Linked DNA regions of Drosophila melanogaster. The protein of the gene in region 1 binds, or shares a complex with, the protein of each later gene. Each region holds a gene or a part of one and is shown on either strand. Other genes may lie near its edges.

Region 1 (3,339 bases):
GAAGTTATCAAAGGAGAAGTGAAGCGTAAACAATAAAAATGGAAACTAATGTAGATTTCAGCAGCATTTCATCCAAGTTGTACAGAAAGTACGCGCAACATGTGAGAAACCTAAAGGACGTGTGCGTATCCAAGACGGTGATGAAACCGGGGGCCTTCTTTGACAGCCTGCAGCAGATGATGGAGGAGGAGGCAGCAGCCACTACGCCCCCGAGGGATCTTAGCTCGGTAGCCGACTATGCGGAGCTCTTCAAGACCTTGGAAGAGTACCCGGCCAACCTGCAGAAAATGCCCAAGAAGCGGGAGCTACAACGTACCAACTCAACGCTCCTGCGAGGAGCAGACGAGTCGGTGGCCATGGGCATCAACACATCCAACGTTTCGCTGAGTCTGACGCGTCTGGAGGAGCAGCGCAGTGCCGTGGACGTGTACAATGATTTTAAGGGTTTCCAGCGAAAGCTGGCCAAGATCTACGACGAGGCAGCCGCTCTGGACACCACAGAATCCATATACAAGCAGAAGCTGACGCAGCTCCATGGATTTGCGCAGCAGCTGGAAAAGCTCATGCCAACCGGCGGTGAGTCTCCGCCAGATGCTTTTACATCCGAGCAGCAGGAGAAGCTTCTGACCATAGCCGCCAATATGGAACAGCTCAACTACCTGCGCTCCAACAGCCTCCAGCTGCCCAATCCCAATGAGATACTCGCCACCGGGAGTCTTGCCGCTCGCCTGGAGATGTTCGTAGAGGTGCTTACCTATACGCTTCTCCAAGTCAGCAGCTACAATATGGCCATGATTTGAAAACCTCGCTTAAAGAGCTTTAAATACAAATCAAATGTTTAATTTATTTAAATTATTTTTCAACTATAACATAATAATAAATTCTAAAAATGGATGAGCTAGGGGGAATCCTCGCTGGCATACTGCTCTTCCTGTGAGTTCTTCATCTGGCCCACGGTGTCGTAGAGCGCCACCAGCTTACGCACGGAGCTGCCAAGGTGCTCCACGCGATGCCTGTAGGCCAGGCAGCCCTCCAGAGCGCTGTATGTCTCCTCCCGCTGGTCACTGCTAGACATGAGCAGCTTGAAGTTCTCCAGGATCTTGGACAGGGTCATCTCAGCCTCCGGCCTGAGGTTGTACATCTTCTGGGTCTCCGACAAAGCCACATTCTGACTGAATGCCTTGCTGTTGGACTCGATGTGGAGCAATGTGTTGTTCGACCGCTCCATTATCTCGTCTATCTTAGCCAGCTGGCGGTTCATGGTCTGCCGATTGGCCGCTGAAATTGGAAGCACGGAATAGAACGCGTGTCGGTGGTTTAAAGATATATTTACCCATTCCCGCCAACATTTTGTCCACAGCGTCTGACATTTCGAATATTCTGTTTGTAATGCTAGCAGATTAACGTGACCGTCGCTGCGTATCTAAAATACACAAGGCTTTCTAAAACAATCGAAAGACCAACGTTTCTATCGAAATTTAAATTTAACCGCCAGTACTAAATGACTCGTTTATTTATTTGGATAGTTAATTTATTAGCTGCTATTCCGCAGTTAATTATAGCCCTCGTGTACAATTGCTGACTACAAGTTAATTTAACGTTTGGTTTATTCAGTTGATCAAATTGTATTTGACTTGTTTTCTATTTAAATTTAAGTGTAATCCGTTCAATGGCTTGCATTACAATTACAATTTACTCGTACACATCCTCCTTGTCGGCGACGTACTTAATAATGTCGGCAGGTTTAAGCAGCTTCTCGGCATCAGAGTCGGGGATCTCGAAACCGAACTCGTCCTCCATGGCCATGATGACCTCCACGTGGTCCAAGGAATCCAGTCCCAAGTCGTTGATGAAGTGCGACTCAACGTTGAGCTGTAAATGCGAGCCATTAGCATTGGGTATTCAAAGGTTTCATCAGCTTTGTTCAGTTCTGATTTCTGAGGCGACCATTGCACTGGCAAAGGCAATATGTGGCGTTTACCTTGCTGGGATCGATCTTGTCGTAGAGCTTGAGCACAAGCAAGACGCGCTCATTGATCAGCTTCAGCGAGAGCGGCGGTTTCGCCGAGTATCTGCGCACCAATTGCGTTTGCCAGCGACCACGGCACTCCTGGTTTTTGGCCGGCCCGAGAAAAAAAGGAAGGAAACAAAGACCGGATTAGTGGCGCCATGCAATGGGTACTTTACCTTTTCGGCGGTCACTTTGTCGTAGGCGGAGACAACCTTTAGCACGCGGAACTTGATGTCCTCGATGGTGCTCTTGGCCGAGTAGCTGCGCACACCGAACTTCTGCGAATGTTAATGTCTAGTGAATTTTCGTCTCTATATGAATAATTGCATTGGTAGTTCATCTACGACTTATGGTGCATACAACTTAGCTAATTCTTCAATGAGCAGTGTAAATATATACGCAATTTAAACGAGGGTGGTTCGATGGTGTATGATCAACTGATTAAATACCGCGAAAACTATTGCTTGGATTGGCGTGGAAACATATTTAGATATTTAACAAACTGAAATCACATGTTTTAAAACCGCTACATTTTAAGGTCACTTCTAGAGGATTTTCACTGTAGTACAATCAACCGCACACAAGTGCGAGCACCGGTGTTGCAGGTGTATGTGTGTGTGTGTGCGATAGGGAAACAATCATGTTTTATGCAAAATAATGTGATGCAATCGAATTGGGTGGTTCGACGGCCACATGGCGAGGATCTTCTGTTGCGTTCATGATTGCAAGCACTTAATTGAATGTTTTGAAACTCGTAGATCACGAAACCCCGCCGTTTGCGATGAGGTTAGGTCCTCAACTGCGATTGGGGCTCCTGCAACGGAAGGGACCGCTTTGGACGTTCGCTTACTTGGCTCAACTGGCTGGTCATCGATGGCACGGCGATCCTGTGCATCATCCTGGAGGCCTGTGATTGGATGAGAATGCCGGAGGCGACCCTCCTTGGGGCCAAAGTGGCCGCCAGTCGACTGCAGCTGCGCGCGATCTGTGTGAACGACATCTCGGTTCTCCTGCAACGGAAACGCAGCGGGTTAGTATCGCATCTCTGCAGACGGTGCACGAGTGCAGGTCTCGTATTTTGGGCGATATTTACGCTGAGTTTTCAAGATTATGTAAAAGTGCTGGAGCAAGAAAAAGACAGCAAGGTAGCAGTGTGACCGTATGCGCAATGTACTAAGCTGTTTCTCAACTTACGCAAATAAATACTAAAAATACTTAATACTTGAATAATGAGTAAGTAACTTTCCCAACTATAATTTACAGTTAAATAATTGTTAGTGGTATATTAATTCACATGAATTTCAGTAGTAACGTTAGCTGAAATCTTC
Region 2 (3,953 bases), on another chromosome or scaffold:
GACAGAGTTCGACTCGCGCGGCTTCCACATAGTAGGGTACTTCTCCAAGGAGAAGGAGAGCACAGAGGACTACAACGTGGCCTGCATTCTCACAATGCCTCCGTATCAGCGCAAGGGCTACGGCAAGCTGCTCATTGAGTTCAGCTACGAGTTGTCCAAGTTCGAGGGCAAGACGGGATCGCCGGAGAAACCATTGTCTGATCTGGGTTTGCTGTCCTATCGATCGTACTGGGCGCAAACCATACTGGAGATCTTTATCAGCCAAAACCCGAGCACGGACGGCGAAAAGCCCACTATAACTATAAAGTATGGCTAGTTCTAAGCTTAAAGTAATACAATTTTCAATCCACAGAGATTGTGCTTCATTGCCGAAACATAGATTAATCATGCTCCCAAAATTTTTCTTCACAGCGACATCTGCGAATGCACATCCATCAAAAAAGAGGACGTGATCTCAACGCTGCAGAACCTGAACCTGATCAACTACTACAAGGGCCAGTACATCGTGTGCATCAACCGGGTTATCATCGAGCAACACCGGCGAGCAATGGACAAGCGCAAGATCCGCATCGACTCGAAATGCCTGCACTGGACACCCAAAGACTGGTCCAAGCGCTCCAAATGGTAATCTCCTCATCTTCTCCGTATAAATAACTGAGTTTAAACAGCTTTGAATCCGTTTTTTTTTGTTTTTAGATTTCCGCTACCAATATTCTTCATCGGATGATCCTGGCTTCGTTGTAGCTTGTAGTTTTCATTTACAGTTTCCGTTTTTAATGTTATAAACTAGTTTATATCATACAATATTATATATACTTTTGAGACGACCGGCTAGTTGTTTGTTTCCCGCGGTGGGAGAAGATCCTCCACAAGGCGGTCCATTGCCTGTATCATGCCCATCTCCATACCATTCTCCAATCCATCGACGGCGGTACGCAAACTTCTTAGAGCTTCTTGGTTCTGGGCGAACTCCCGTTGTTGCCGGCATAGATTTAGGCGCGGTTTGTGGGTGGTGTTCAGATGTTCCAGGCACTGCTTCACATCGTTGGAGTCCAGAATGGCGGGACGCAGATCACTGCCCAGTTTGGATCGCAAACTAGCGATATCCTTGGCCGCCTGGTCGACTTGATTCACATCAGATACACGATGGGCATCCACGGCCGCCTGCAGGGCTCCGCACTTCAGGAGCCTCGCCAGCCGCCCAAAGTCCCGCTGATACTCACACTTGGCGTCCAGCCAAATGCGTACTTGCTCCTCCACCTGGCGCTTTACATTGCGGCTGTCTTCCTGAAAACGGCGCATCGCCTCCAGGTGCAGCAGGTATTGGATGTCGTCCATGGTGCCCTCAGTTGTCAATGATGGCGGTGTGGTCGTGGTGGGAGTGGGTGGAGTTTCCATAGTGGCTTACAAAAACTTCTTAGTTTTTAAAGTGGGAAATTCGGATTCGATTGCCGACGCTATCGCTTTCGCAGCTGCTATCGGTAGCATTTGAAGTCGGCTAACGGAGATTTTTGTAACGATAGGCGCGTAGCTATGTTCGAGTCAAATTTGGCTATTAATAACTATATAAAAAAAAAATGAAAATAATTCGAAAATGTAAATAACAACAAGATATGTAGGTTTCCTTACATAAACTAACAGGTTTTTAAAGTTTCTAGAAAACTGAAATAAGTTGTTTGATTTTGCTTACCGATAGTTGGGAAACCAGCTCTTATTGATTTTGGGGCTAAAAATGTAAGCCATGCAAATGAAGTTAACGTTTAAAAACAAGTCAATTCCTTGCAGCACGGAAACCAAGTACTGTAAAAAGTAATTCCCTTTCAATTCAATTTCACTTCTTTAGCAGCATATTTCACCTTCCCTTCCAAGCACCAAATGTCCGGCGACTCTCGCGCGACAGCGTTGCCAGTTAGGCGACGAACACGTTTTAACTATTCGTTTCGTTTAGAAAACACACAACGCTTGCCTAATTTTTTTTAAACATATTCAGTGGACTGATAACTTGGTATTGATATTGACAAATGGGTCGAAACCAGAAGCAAAATTTTTTCGCGGCTCGCAAACGTCAAAAGCGGGAGAATGTGAGTCACCTCAATTTGAAAGGAGAAACATTCCACGTTTTTGGATTTTATTCTTAAATATATTTTTTATCTTAAAGGGTCCCAAGCGCACCGATCGTCAGGCCCAGCCGTATGAGGAGATCAAAAGGGATAATGCCTTCTTCATCAAGTACTACCAACTGCAGAAGATCTGCGCCACCGATGAGGAGTGGACGCAGTTCCTTGCTTCCATCAGGGACAATCTGCCCACTACTTTCCGTGTGACAGGATTCAAGGACGAGGCCAAAGCCCTGCTATCCATTATTGAGACGCAGCTATTCACCGAGTATGTGAGGGCGGTGGCCGAGCTGCACCAGAAGGCGCCCGAGGATGTGGAACGTCCGCTGTGCCTGCCGTGGTATCCAAACGGACTGGCCTACCAGCTGCACCTTACCCGCAAGGACATTCGACGCTCGGAGCCGCTCTACCGGCTGCACAACTTCCTAATTGTGGAGACCACGGCGGGCGGCATCAGCAGGCAGGAGGCCGTATCCATGATCCCGCCAATTGTCCTGGATGTCCGACCCACGGACAAAGTTTTGGACATGTGTGCTGCGCCAGGTTCGAAGACAGCCCAGCTCATTGAGGCTCTGCACGCTGCTCCCGAGGAGCACAAGATTCCGCCCGGCTTTGTGCTGGCCAACGATGTAGACAACAATCGGTGCTACATGCTGGTTCACCAAGCCAAGCGTCTAAACTCGCCCTGCCTGTTGGTGACCAACCACGACAGCAGTGTCTTTCCCAATCTCGTGACCACGAAGCCGGACGGCTCAAAGGCGATCCTTAAGTTCGATAAGATCTTGTGCGATGTACCTTGCTCCGGCGACGGCACACTGCGCAAGAATCCAGACATTTGGCTGAAGTGGAACCTGGCACAGGCCTACAACCTCCACGGCATTCAATACCGCATCGTACGTCGTGGCGCTGAGATGCTGGAGGTTGGCGGAAGGCTGGTGTACTCCACCTGCTCACTGAATCCCATCGAGAACGAGGCGGTGCTGCAGCGGATCATAAAGGATGCCGACGGTGCATTGGAGCTGGTGGATGCGGGGCACTTGGTGCCAGGTCTTAAGTACAAGCCCGGCATGACCGACTGGAAGCTGGCCACCAAGGAGGTGGACCAGATCTTTACCCGCTTTGAGGAAGTGCCTGAAAGCCTGCACACTATAATACGGCCCGGTATGTTCCCTCTGCCGGCCGACGAGATGGCCAAGATCGGGTTGGAGAAGTGCCTCCGCGTATTGCCGCATCTCCAGGACAGCGGCGGCTTCTTTGTAGCCGTGTTGGAGAAGCGTCGTCAGCTAAGCTTCGAAAAGAACGATGTGGTGGAGCTGGTAAAGCTGAACGAGACGGCCAAGCAGCCTGCAGCTGAGCCGCAAGTGGACGCGGATGGCAAGCCCATCGAGGAGAAGTCCGTTCCGTGGGGACCGCAGCGAAAGAAGCGACGTCTGCATGGCTACAAGGAAGATCCTTATGTCTTCTTCGGCGAGAATGATCCTGACTACCAGGCGATCAAGGAGTTCTACCAGCTGGACGAATCCCTTAGTCAACGATGTCTCTTAACTCGCTGTGTCACGGAGAAAAAGAAGAACATCTATTACTGCTCTGAACCCATCCGCGATTTGGTGCTTAACAACGAAAACAACATTAAGATCATCAACACGGGCGTTAAGACATTCGTGCGCTGCGAGAACCGGCATACGGTGCATCCCTTCCGATTGGCCCAGGAGGGCCTCCAGACCTCCAATGCCTTCATGGGCGCCAGCAGGAGAATCCAGGTGGAGCGGGAGGACCTGGTAATGATGCTCAATTGCACTGATCCCACGCAGCCGCCGTCGACTCACGAACTGAAGA
Region 3 (4,997 bases), on another chromosome or scaffold:
TTTTCACATTTTTGCGCCTAATGGGGGGAATTTGCAGATTTTGTTATTGCATAAAGCGAGAGAGCACGGTGAATATTTAACAACCGTGCGCCTATTTAGCTCTAGGCTGCTTGCAACTTTCTGTGGCACACACACACACGCGCGCTCATTGCCTGTTTGCTGCGTATGAAAAATGGTTTTCCAATCCGTATTCACCACGCGTTTTGCGCGCACTCTCCAATTACGCATAAGCCCCTTTGCAGAAACCGATTAACCGTTAGTTTAGCAAGTATAATTGAATTTTTTATAACAGCAACAGCAAATAAAAAGCGACGGAATTTTTCTCAAAATGTTTTGTACGGTATTTTTTTAGTGACTGCCCGTCGCTGGCCATATTTAGCAGCTCTTCGCTGCGAATGGCAATGGCACTGTTATCGATTAATCGGCCATCCCTATTGGCACAATGATAGTGGGTTTTTGTTTTTTGAAATTTTATTTCACACACTCCGTACATCGGTTACAAAAATCAGGATAGACCCTTAATCAATAATAATGCATCCTTGGGATTACTTGGTCGGCTGCTTCGCTTGCTTCTCCTTCTTGGCAGCCTCGGCCTCCGCCTGTACCTTTGTGTACTTCTCGATCAGCTTCTCCACATCGGGTTTCTCCAGGACACTGTATACGGTCTTATTGTCCACACGCTGCAGCGTGGCCATCTCGACCTTCTCCGGGGTCAGCTTGGTGGTGTCCAGGGTCATGCTCAGTACCTTGATGGCCAAATCCTTGGCGTCCGCCAGCGTCAGCTTCACGTTCTCCTTATCGGCCAGCTCCTGCTTCAGCATGGAGATCGCGGCACCGAAGTTGTTGCCAATACAGGTGGCCTTCCATCCGCCGTAGTTGCCGCTGGGATCCGACTGGTACAGTTGGTAGCCGTACTTGTTGTCCCATCCCATGTAGAGCAGCGAGACGCCGAAGGGACGCTTTCCGCCGTACTGAGTGTACGCCTGTTTGATGTCGCAGAGGTGCGACACCAGCTGCTCGCAGGGAATCACCTCGCCGTAGCTGAACTGGTAACGCTGGGCAATCAGACGCAGTTCTGAGGTCAGCACATTGGCATCGGAGGTGATGCCAGCCACCGAGCAGACCATGTTGCTGAGGGAAAACAAAGAGGCTTGGATAGAGATAGATTCGTAGAGAATGTAGTGGGTAATTAAGATCATGGCCAGTTAAATATATGGCCTGTGACCCTTGAATTCATCGTAGGATATACTACTGAAATTTCAACTCACTCGTTCAGGCGATAGATCTTCTCCGAAGGAATGGCGCTGTCCAGCAATTTGTTTGTGCTGCGGCACTCGGCTGCCAACAGGATGCCGTCCTCGGCGAGGATTCCGAGGCAGGTTCCGGCGTGCGAGATGGCCTCCATGGCGTACTCCACCTGGTACAAACGGCCCTCCGGCGAGAAGATCGTGGTGCGGGAATCATAGCGGCGAGCCTGGGAAAATACACGCAAGTCAATTACTACCACGATTGCTAGCCTTCAATGGTCATCGGCCCAATGGTGGCTCTCAGACCAATACCGGTCTTCTGGGCGCGGTACTTACCATTGCTAAGGAATATACCAATTTACAAGTTTATTTTGCAAAACGAACAGAATTTACTTGTCATTCAGTGTAGGGTTGCCAGACTGCCACACGAAGTGCGTCCAAAGCGGTACCAGGGCTGCAAACTAGATGGCGTTAGGGTGTTTCTATTTACCAGGGGTGGTGTGCACGTTTATCCACATATCGATATAAGGTATTAAAATCATTTTAACAAAGATCAATTTATAAGCCCTTTAAGATTGAGGTGTACTAAAACATAATATTTACTTGAATTAAACTTAAGAACTTGTGTCAAATTTAGAAAAATTGTATCCTTACTTCATAGCAAAAATTTAAAATAATTCATATATAAAATATATATATATAATAAACAGAAATTTATTATATATATATATATATATATATATATATTATATATATTATATATATATATATATATATATATATATATTATATATATTATATATATATATATTTAACAGAAATAGATAAGAGTAAATATTTCATGAAATCGTTGATAGGAAATCAGGAATTTCTACGATTTTTATTAAGCTTAATTATTAAGCACTATTTCCTGTTAATTTTCAAAAGGTACCATCTCTAGTAACGTCTCTGAAACCTTTCGATATAACCGATAAGTAATCAGCTTGTGTTGTCATTTTTTTAAAAGATGGGCGATCTGCTGAGCGTATGTGTGATGATTTAATTAATGATCAGCTTATAATCGCCATGATTGCAGAACTCGGAATTCTTCAAGAAGCTGGGAGTGGACAGCTCGAACCAGTGGATTCTGTACGATGAGCAGATGGAGATGTTCTTCAAGTTCCTGTCCGGGAACATCACGGATGCAAATATCCTCACAGAGCGACAGGTTCTGGAGCGGGAGGAGATGCAGCGGCGGGGCGAGTGGCTAAGTGCTTCGGATCGCGAGCTCAAGCTCCTGCAAATCGAGGCCGAAAGTCCGGGGCTTCTCAACTACAAGCAGCAGGATGTCGACGCCTTGACCATGAGCATTGAGGCGATCGAAGATGCCTCAAGGGATTATGCTACGCTTCTGGAAGATATGATGTAAGGGAAAAACTGTAACCTTCCTCATATATGTTCGATCGATGGTCAATCCACTTTTGCAGGACCACAAAGCACTCGATAACTAAGCACCTAGGCGAGGTGGAGTGCGTCACCGCCGAGTTGCAACTGAGGGAGAAGGATCTGATAGCCGAGTGCCAGTCCAAAGCCAAGCAACTGGAGGAACTGCAGCAGGAGAACTGCCGGCTAAGCGCCGAAGCCAAAAAGGCATTCACCGCCCCACAGTTGCCGCCTCTATTCATGCATCAACTGCCATTGGAGCAGTATTTCCACAAATGCGATTCATTTATGCAATACTTTACTCTGTATGTGAAGGAGAATTTTAAGATCCAGGACTATGATGAGTTCCAGAGCGCGGAGGAAGATCTTGGGCGCGAAAAGGCCAAGCTGGAGGACTTGGAACGTGGGTAAGCACAAAGGTTCTGTGCTAAAAACAATGCACATTAATTGATATGACCGTTTTTACAGCATCCAGTTTTATGCACTATCCTACATAAGAACAAAGGCCAAGGTGAAGGCCACGCAGTGTCTTATTGACCAGTTGGATCTTGGCAAGATTCACTGCCTCAGTTTAACGGACATGGCGCGTGAAATGCACGATCTGCAGCTGCTCAACGACTATCAACTGAGCAATACACACGATACGCTTTTAAACGATCTAACCATTCACATTCAGCAGCACACCCAGCGACGTATTGAGCTGGTTCTCTACGAGAACACTAAACTGAAGTTGGAAAGAGCTGTTCGACGTCATGAAAGCGACAAGAAGCTCACTAAAATCATCTCAGATGCTCTGTCCAATGCGGAATTGCTGTGGATTGCGATCCAACTGGACTGCGACAAGAAGCGCAACTGCCTGGACACTTCGGAGGAGTTGCGCGACCAAGCGCAGGCCACTTGGCAAAGAATCCAGACCATGCGCTCCATTAACGCCAGTTATCAGGGCATTTGTGCCCAGTTTGTGCAGGAGATTGCCAATTTGTTGTCAGCCCACTTGGGACAGAACATAAAGGCAACTGAGGCCAAGGCTTGTCTCTTCGAATACGAAAAGTTCGGTCGCCTGCTGTCTTACTCCTTTCAGAGCATGCTGAACCGAAAGTCGTGTGCTGCTGTTCAGGATCAACTGGCAGAACTGTAAGTTGCAATACTTAACTTTGATACAGATCGTTTAAGCTATTAATATTTTTTTTTAGCAAGCGCTTGGAGCAGACTTTGCGGCCGTTTGTCTATGATTCCCCATTGGAGCAGCCCATGTTTGAGAACGTTCGCTACTTGAGCGCCATATACAATGTCACCCAGCAGCAAACTCGCCTGGATGAGTCAGGGCGTTCCTTGCGAAAAGATTTCCTGGAAAATGTCGTGGGGCGCATTGTAAGTATACTAATTAACTATAAAATCATGGAATATAACATTTTAATGTTGTTTATCCTTTTAGGAGCGGGATAAACTGTATCGCTATAGCGTAGTCCTGTGGATTTGGTTTCTCACTGAGCCGCAGCGCATGATGCATGCAATTGATGAGGTCAAAAAGGCAGCCGCTGCAGTAATTCGTCCAGGTGGTGGTCTGCACCGCAAGTGAACTTAGTTGATTTAGAATCTGGTCAGTAAATAAATGTTAAATTATTCAAAAATAAACATTACGGCGTTGCTAGTCTAATAATAAGTCAATACACTAAATTTAGGGATGCTGTATAATGTGTGTATGTAAAGATTCTTAGGCAGCAACATGATTTACTTTTGCTTACGACTTTGGTAATTGTTTTCCCCCCTTTGAAATGCCTTTTCCCTGGGCTATCAGATTTGGGTTCACTAAACACCGGGCGTATTAAGGCAGCATCGTCTTAAAGCAGTCTACACGAGTGCCACCAAAGAGACGCATTAATTGCTGGCGGCACGCGACGGCGTTTCCAAGCGATTACCATTCAGATTTGGCCAAGGAGCAACAAGTGAGGCCATAAAACCTTGTTCGCCTAACCTAGAGATTCACTTTCCGTGCAGACGAAGTCATTTGCCCGCCGATTTGCAGGACTCTCATTGGCTGCCGGCATTCGGGCTGCAGGACGAGTTTTGCCGAGCAGAGGTCCTTGCGGATATAAAAGGACCAACAGTTGTGGCCACTGGTTCACTCGATTATCGTGCTTCGGGCCATCTTTCCCCTCGTGACTTCCGGTAATACAATTGGATAAAGTGAAGTGTTTGTGCAAAGTGTGTTTTTTTAGTCAAATAAACCTTAAAAAGTGCTTCTACAAAACATTAAATATTTGGACTGCTTTAAGGACTTTAAATTTAAAGGAGTACAGCAAAGAAGTGGAACATTTTAAAGCTTTA

What was found. Proteins that work in one complex are often made in the same cells at the same time.
Region 2: msd1 (region 1) and dgt4 share a complex: the UniProt entries of both Drosophila melanogaster proteins name them as parts of the augmin complex.
Region 3: msd1 (region 1) and dgt3 share a complex: the UniProt entries of both Drosophila melanogaster proteins name them as parts of the augmin complex.

What each region holds. Positions count from the first base shown.
Region 1 is NT_037436.4:1,329,813-1,333,151, reverse strand, and holds msd1 (mitotic spindle density 1), read right to left. Parts: upstream 1,409-3,339; 5' UTR 1,371-1,408; coding exon 1,334-1,370; intron 1,279-1,333; coding exon 899-1,278; 3' UTR 826-898; downstream 1-825. Other genes in the region: msd5 (mitotic spindle density 5), read left to right, coding at 39-800; ND-ACP (NADH dehydrogenase (ubiquinone) acyl carrier protein), read right to left, coding at 1,693-1,872, 1,982-2,110, 2,203-2,289, 2,862-3,011. UniProt on the Drosophila melanogaster protein: As part of the augmin complex, plays a role in centrosome-independent generation of spindle microtubules.
Region 2 is NC_004354.4:4,111,673-4,115,625, reverse strand, and holds dgt4 (dim gamma-tubulin 4), read right to left. Parts: upstream 1,926-3,953; 5' UTR 1,691-1,925; intron 1,563-1,690; 5' UTR 1,399-1,562; coding exon 832-1,398; 3' UTR 698-831; downstream 1-697. Other genes in the region: Tip60 (Tat interactive protein 60kDa), read left to right, coding at 1-306, 412-624, 697-697; Nsun2 (NOP2-Sun domain family, member 2), read left to right, coding at 2,022-2,081, 2,159-3,953. UniProt on the Drosophila melanogaster protein: As part of the augmin complex, plays a role in centrosome-independent generation of spindle microtubules. The complex is required for mitotic spindle assembly through its involvement in localizing gamma-tubulin to spindle microtubules.
Region 3 is NT_033778.4:20,991,580-20,996,576, reverse strand, and holds dgt3 (dim gamma-tubulin 3), read left to right. Parts: upstream 1-2,195; 5' UTR 2,196-2,253; coding exon 2,254-2,271; intron 2,272-2,322; coding exon 2,323-2,651; intron 2,652-2,713; coding exon 2,714-3,076; intron 3,077-3,137; coding exon 3,138-3,803; intron 3,804-3,862; coding exon 3,863-4,040; intron 4,041-4,104; coding exon 4,105-4,248; 3' UTR 4,249-4,301; downstream 4,302-4,997. Other genes in the region: Prosalpha3 (proteasome alpha3 subunit), read right to left, coding at 546-1,131, 1,269-1,474, 1,584-1,586. UniProt on the Drosophila melanogaster protein: As part of the augmin complex, plays a role in centrosome-independent generation of spindle microtubules. The complex is required for mitotic spindle assembly through its involvement in localizing gamma-tubulin to spindle microtubules.